Rattus norvegicus: one gene and its partner. The protein of the gene in region 1 purifies or fractionates together with the protein of each later gene. This does not show direct contact. Links are inferred from orthologs where the notes say so. Each region holds a gene or a part of one and is shown on either strand. Other genes may lie near its edges. The genes, in order: Kbtbd8 and Pkn1.

Evidence for each region.
Region 2: the proteins of Kbtbd8 (region 1) and Pkn1 purify together in Homo sapiens (affinity purification with western blotting; 3 studies listed by BioGRID and IntAct, with this or other methods). This does not show direct contact. The link is inferred for Rattus norvegicus from reciprocal best matches to the Homo sapiens genes KBTBD8 and PKN1.

The regions. Positions count from the first base shown.
Region 1 is NC_086022.1:129,239,450-129,243,269, forward strand, and holds part of Kbtbd8 (kelch repeat and BTB domain-containing protein 8), read left to right. Parts: intron 1-2,947; coding exon 2,948-3,411; 3' UTR 3,412-3,820. UniProt on the Homo sapiens protein: Substrate-specific adapter of a BCR (BTB-CUL3-RBX1) E3 ubiquitin ligase complex that acts as a regulator of neural crest specification.
Region 2 is NC_086037.1:41,367,300-41,371,119, reverse strand, and holds part of Pkn1 (serine/threonine-protein kinase N1), read right to left. Parts: intron 3,783-3,820; coding exon 3,641-3,782; intron 3,552-3,640; coding exon 3,458-3,551; intron 1-3,457. UniProt on the Homo sapiens protein: PKC-related serine/threonine-protein kinase involved in various processes such as regulation of the intermediate filaments of the actin cytoskeleton, cell migration, tumor cell invasion and transcription regulation.

The DNA of each region.
Region 1 (3,820 bases):
GCAGGCGATACTCCTAGTAGTACTTAATACTTCCTAACCATAGACTGTGCTAGAACATTCACGTAGAAAATCAAGGTCAAAAACATTTAAATTTTTAAAATATTTTTAAGTTACTGAAATGGTTGGTCCTTTGTTTTTGAGTTATGTTCAGATCTCATATAAAGTTTTTAAAAGCATAATAAGTAATAGTTTATTACTGACTACTTTGGAGCATTTTAAAATAAACAATAAGCAAAGGCTAATCACCCGGCTATTTTTGTTCTTTAATAATATAATCAAGAGACTTGGCTACAACTCTTTTATAGAACTTACTGATTGAGTTTACTGGAATTGACTGTTCATTTACCAAGGAGCTTTGTTTTTCTTCCAAGGTTTATTTTTCTTTTATATGTCTGAACATTTTGCCTGCATTTATGTCTGTGTACCAGGTGCATGCCGTGTTCACAGAGGCCAAAGGTGTTGGATCACCTGGAGCTGGAGTTATAGACAGTCGTAAACTGCCATGAGGGTTCTGGAAGCTGAACCCAGGTCCTCTGGAAGAGTAGAGCCGCAAGTGCTTTTAAACACTGAGCTCTATTTCCAGTTCTACCAGGTTTTTGTTTGTTTTGAATCTTATGTAGGCATTTTGCTTGAGTGTATGCGTATATACCACATGCATACTTGGTGACTGCAGAAGCCAAAAGAGGAGAACCCTGGAACTAGAGTCACAGATGGTGTGAGCTGTCCTGTGGATGCTGAGATTTGAACTTAAGCCCTCTAAAAGAGCAGCTAGTGCTCTTAGCTGCTCACTCACATTCCAGTGCCCACAAAGAGTTTCACTAGTTATGAAACTTTATTACAAAGGCTTGAGATTATCATCTTTAGATCTTAGCTTTTTAAAAATTGTATGTATACGAGTGTGCAGGTCAGACATTATTAACATTGGCTGTTTCTATTGTTGGCCACCTTATTTTTTGAGACAGGCTCTCACAGACACTGGAGCTTAACAATTAAGTCGACTAGCTTGCCTCCAGGTCCCTCAGGAGTCTGACTTTCTTTGCTTTTTCACTGCTGTGGTTATGTAGGTGTGCCACCGTGCCCTGCTTTTTCATGGATCCTAAAGGTCTGAACTCACATAGGTTACATTGCAAGCACCTGACCTGCTGACCCCCAGTCCCTTTACATTTTCTAAGAATATTTTAGTTGTTGGAATTTTGAATGCAGTTTAGATTATTCCAAAATTCTTATTTACTATGTTTCTTAAGGGATTATATTCACATATTTCCTTATATGACTACTTTAATAAATCAGGAACAATGTAGGTTTTCATGAAAATATACATGATTATTTTTAAGCTCTATCCCATTTTTAAAAATGATATTCTTTGCTCTAATCCTTTGACTTAAAATTTCTCAGAGAAGCCCGGATATGTTTGATTTAAGTTGCTTATTAATTTTGTAGAATTAATTAAGGTATAGTACTAATGTACTTTAGTTAAAATGAAAGCATGGTTTGGATTTATCTTTGTAAAATATAGGAATGGTTATATCTAGTGTGATGAAGTGTGAAGTGTGAAGTATGTCCCACCCCCACCCATATGTGGTACTGGCAAAAATAGTTTATAGAGATAATTTTAAGGCTCCTAATTGGAGTATGTAGGCTGTATATTAATGTAAATATTATAGCAAAACAGCAATAACTTAATACATTTATGCACCAGAGCGAATAATTTGTAGCCAGAGGTATAAGAAATGTGTAGACAACTGGGTCATATAAGATGTCTTAACTCCCATGTTCTTTATCAAGAACACCAGAATATAAGTCATAGTAGAAAGAAAAGGTAATATGCAAGCAAAGGTTAGGGCTTAAATAAAAGTGAGGTTGAAACGTCACTCTTATTAAGTATGTAATTTAATCTATAGATGAGAATGTCCTTACTTTAGAATAGTTTAAAGGGAAGCTTTACTTAGACTCTAATATTCTTTTCTAACCTACAAAACCTTCTTACATATATAACCTGGTGATAACTGTCAAAGAAGGTTATGTCTTACAGATTGAGCATTCCTAATGTAAAATGCCAAAATCTGAAATCTGAATTTTGAAATTCGAGACTTTTTTGATGTGGTTCTACATTTTATACCCAACCTTATAAGAGGTCACAGTCTAAACGCAGGCACTAAAGATACCGTAGTAATCCGTGTTTTGACATGGAGTAATCCCCAGGATATTTATGTACATGTAGATACTCTGAGATCTGCAGTACTTAGAGTGTCAAGCACTTCAGAGAGAATATTCCAGCCTGCTCTGCCTATAACTGCCTGTCTCTAGACTCTAGTCTCCATAGAGCTGTTACCTACTATCATGAGACATTATTCTGTGTTCCCATTAAGCTTCACATAGCTGCCCATACCTCTAATTCCCGCTCTTGGGAGGGTAGGGTAGGAGGATTTCAAAGTGAAGATGAGCCTGAGTTCAGGCTAGAGACCTTATCAAAAAACAAAGCAGTGTTATATCATTAGCAAGATCTTGGCAATATTCACTATTTTAATTCTTACAGACATTTTCCTATTGACAGTCTGGCTCAGTGCACACACCTTTTTATTGTCAGTTTAGAAGAGTAACTGACTATCAAGTCCATAAATTGTTTGTTGTCTTTGCTTTATAACAACATTGACATAAACACACGAGTGACCACAAGTTCAAATCTAAACAATTCCATATGCTATTTTCTAACCAAGTACCACACATGTATGTGATGTATTTTTTATGGTTAAGTTGTATGTGTTCATGTTGCCTGCCTTACTCCTCCTGGGTCATACATCCCAGTGCAGATTGGGTGTAGTATTACTGTTACTTTGTATATTCTAGGAGTCAAGAATTTGGAAGGAAAATATTGTCTTCTGAGGTTGGAATTAAAGATACAACTAAACATGAAAATGTACATAATTGTTTCCCTTTTCTTTTTTAGGAGAATTTTTCCTCTTCTATGAGCCTCAAAAAGACTACTGGGGATTTTTAACCCCCATGACTGTGCCTAGAATCCAGGGCTTAGCGGCTGTGTATAAAGACTCCATCTACTACATAGCTGGAACCTGTGGAAATCATCAGCGTGTGTTTACTGTTGAAGCCTATGATATTGAGCTAAATAAATGGACTCGAAAAAAGGACTTTCCTTGTGATCAGTCTATAAATCCATACCTTAAGCTGGTACTTTTCCAGAATAAACTTCATTTATTTGTGCGAGCTACTCAAGTGACTGTTGAAGAACATATCTTCAGAACCAGCAGGAAAAATTCTCTTTACCAGTATGATGACATCGCTGACCAGTGGATGAAAGTGTATGAGACCCCAGATCGGCTGTGGGACCTTGGCCGCCATTTTGAGTGTGCAGTGGCTAAACTCTATCCTCAGTGTCTTCAGAAAGTTCTTTAATAAATAGCAGGCCAAAGCACGTCACTGGCATCTCTCATACTAAGGAAGCTTGTTTAGGAAATGCTGTCAACATTGAAGAAAGCTAACAGTTTTGTATTCAGAAATGGGTGCTCGTAAAGATAGTGGTGTTGGGAGGGATTTGCTTTTACCTTCATGATTTTTTCATTTTAGTCAGGAAAGGTAACAAAGTGCAATTATCAGCATTTTTCCACCCCTGGCATAAAAGTATCATCCTAGAATTTTGTGATAAATAGTTGCTGAGAAACCAGGTGAATTCAAGACAACTATGCACTCTTGAAAAGCAGAGTATTCCTGGGTAGAGAAATCCAAACTGGTTAACGTGACTTTTTATTTTAAATACGGGTAACAATATGAGGCAATATCATTTATTTAGCTGTGATCTCTCTAA
Region 2 (3,820 bases), on another chromosome or scaffold:
AGCACAGGATAGACCTGAGCATTGTGCTTGCTTCCCCAGCCCTGTGCTTTATTCTCACCACCTGCCCGAGGTACCCTGAACCTGTGCTCCTTCTGCCTCAGCCTGTTGGGTAACTTGGACCCCAGGCTTGCATGGCCCAGCTCTTTCTCCTCTGTAACCCTTCCTGAGATATTGTCTATATGAGGATCAGCTGACTCCTGTGTTAAAGAACAGAGACCCTTAGCACACCCTGTCCATCTGCCATTTTCCTCCCAGAATTCTGCATATTTAAATACCCTTTGTGGGCTTATTTAATTTACTGGGTTTAACCTGCACAGATTAGGCCTGGAGAGAGGGCTCAGTAGTTAGAGCAGTGGCTGCTCTTCCACAGGTTCTGAGTTCAATTCCTGGCAACCACATGGTGACTTACAGATTAATGGCTTGACTGATTTATAATGCTGGGCATGGAACCCAGGACCGTGTTCCTACTAGGTGAGCATTCTGGTACAGAGCTTCAACCTAGCCTAGGCATACCACATGAGCATATGACTGAAAAGAATCAGGGCCTGGGGCATCCTTGGCTCAAGAGAAGGAAGGTGCTTACTACACCAAGCCTGCTGGCCTGAGGGAGACCTCTGGATCCAGAGGTGGGAGGAGAGAATCAACTTCTGTAGTTGTCCTCTGATCTCCACACCTGAAGGTGTAGCACATGAGTCCCCCTCCAAAGAAAACAACATACAAACACAAAAGTTAAACCAACAAAAGACTCAGGCTCTGAGGGTGCAGCTTCGTAGTATAGTGCTGGCCTCGAGTGTGAGACCCTGGCTTCCAGCTTCTTTCCTTTTCCAAATGGAGAAGAGGCAGCAGGTAGACAGCGGCCAGGCACACTCTTAGCACTCGAGAAGCTGGGGCAGAATGATCAAAATGGAAGGAAAACGAGGCCAACACCAGGGTGAAGGCACCTGCTGCCATGACTGACAACTGGAGTTTGAGCCCTGGGACCCACAGGGTGGAAGGAGAGAACTGACTCCTGCAAGTTGTTCTCTGACCTCTCCATGAGCGCTCACACTCACATAAGATAAAGTGAATGGTAATAAAAATTGTAAAAAGAAGCCAGGCATGGTGGCACATGTCTTTAATCCTAGCATTTAGGAGAGAGAAGGCAATCTCTGTGATTTCAAGGCGTGCCTGGTCTATAAAGTGAGCTCTAGGATAGCCAGAGCTATGGAGAGGCCCTGTCTCAGACAGATGGATAGATGGATGGATGGATGGATGGATGGATGGATGGATAGGTAGATAGATAGATAGATAGATAGATAGATAGATAGATAGATAGAGATAGGCAAGGCTGATAAAAGCACAGGCACCATGTACCAGCCTGAGCCCAGCGATGCTGACCACCAATGGGCCAGCCTATGGTTAGCTAGCCTACCAGAGCTAGAAGTGCTTGAAGGGGTAGAAAGGAAAGGCATGTCTGGTAACCACACGCAGTCTCTCCATGGCATGGCTGCGACCCCAGCACCCACGCAGCTCTCATCATGTTCACAGAGTCAGTTCCTTATTTCTTTACCAAAAAATAAAACATCTATGGCTACAGAACTAGAGGAAGCTCATGACAGCTGCACCCCCACTTCTTTTGGTAACCCCTATCAATAGAGCAACACAGTTTGTCCTTAATATAAATTTTTTTCCTTTGTGCTTTAGATCAACAGCTCCCTAACTGACCTTAAGGCCCACTCCTTAATAAGAGAGAAACATGCCAGGTACTGGAAACCTAGCCAACTCTCCAGGGTTGGTGAAGTCATAGACCTTGGAGGAGACCCGACAACCACCACTATACTAAACCAGCATAACCCCTACCTACACTCTAAATATTATGGTGACCAGTGGTTCTCAACCTGCAGGTCGTGACTTCCTGGGGGCAGGTCGATTGACTCTTGAACAGGCCACATAAGACTATCACAGATAGGGGCTGGGGATTTAGCTCAGTGGTAGAGCGCTTACCTAGGAAGCGCAAGGCCCTGGGTTCGGTCCCCAGCTCCGAAAAAAAAAGAACCAAAAAAAAAAAAAAAAAAAAAAGACTATCACAGATGTTTACATTATGATTCATAACAGTAGCAAAATCCCAGTTGTGAAGTAGCAATGAAAAGAGTCTTATTTTTCACACCATAAGGAAGTGGTGGTACCCGTATTAAAGGGTCAGCATGGGCAAGGTTGAACACCACTGCCTGACACCCGCAGGTCAAGTGGTCCTCACCCTCATCAAGGAAGCTTCTCTACAACAGATGGAGACCACGACTGAGAACCACAGCCAGTCAAAATGCAGAGGTGTGTGGCCCAGTCCCAGGGATACAGCTACAAAACACGTCCATGCCTAAGGCTCAGAGAGCACTGAGAGAGGAAGAGGGGGGAGCTATAAGAGCCAGAGGACTGGGGAGGCGGTGTCAGAAGCTGCACCTGTCACTCAACAGCATAACCACCCTGTGTGAGCTGGACAAGGACGATGACAATAGGAACGCCACAGTGGATACGGAAAAGCCCACAAGGCCCAACCCTTCTGAAAGTACTACAGCCGATTAAAGTGTGCTTCGAGTAAGAGAGAGAGAGAGAGAGAGAGAGAGAGAGGCTGACTTCCCAAAGAAAAAGTTACCCAGTATTAAATGGCCAGACTTGAAAACATACAGAAATGTGACATTATGCACATTGCACAAAACGTCTGTAGGAATATATAAATATTTATACATACATAGATGCATGCAATTAGCAATTAATGAAAAAAGGGGAGGCTATGAATTTGACGGAGAGGAAGAAGGGGTTTACAGGAGGATTTGGAAAGAGAAAAGCTATATTACAATCTCAAAAACAAGAGAAAAGCATCCCGTCCCCCCTAGAAAATCTGCTCCACAGCTGCGGTGACCTTTCGTTCCCAGCACAGGAGTCACGCAGGCACCTCTGCTGCCCCGTCACAGCTCACACTTTACGTTTGGTCTTTCCTTCTTCAGCCCAGATGGAAGCCAGAGCTGCAAGCACAGTGCTCAGGAGTTCTGCTACTGAGCAGACTTTTGTCCCCATGACCAGCCCCACTTTGGCTTCTGAGACGCGGCTGGATATGTAGCCTAAACTGGCCTAGGACCACTATGTAGTCTCACTCACACTCAAACTTGTGGCGACCACTCTGGCTCAGTCACGCCACTGCCGGAAGATAGGCTGGCGCCACCTTGCCCAGCTTCCACACTGATATTTTAAGCAGGTATAGGAAACAGGGGAGGAGCTGGGGATGCCGTTGCCTAGCGTGCAGAAAGCCTTGGATTTCATCACCAGTACCCTACAAACATGGTAATCCCAGGATGCAGCGGACTGAGGCAGGAGTTCAAGAGTTCAAAGCCCGAAACTATACTCAACAAAAACAACTGGTCTTGTTCTCCTGGATGATCCTGGGTTAGCATCAGATCCCCTAGGCTCCCCTGTGAACACTCACCAGGCTACATGAGGTGGAGGGCAGCCCTGCGGGGCTCTTCTGGGACGAGCTGTCTGAGTCAGCACCGAGATTCAATTTCTCCATGGATATGTCTCTGCAGGAGAGGGAGGAGAAGGAGTTGAGAACCCAGGACCCTGGGAAGCAGGAGCAACAAGTGGCATTGGGCCCACACTCCTTCCTTACCCAGTGCTCCGGATCTCAGAGCCTGGAGATGCATTGGGGCTGAAGGAGCCAGTGGCCACGGCGTTCGGGATGAGTCTCCGGAGCAGCCGCACCCAGGTGGCCACATCGATGTTCATCTGTCTGGCACGCTGAAATGTCTGCCCTGAAGTTGCAAGGGTAGGGTCACCACCCATGACATCC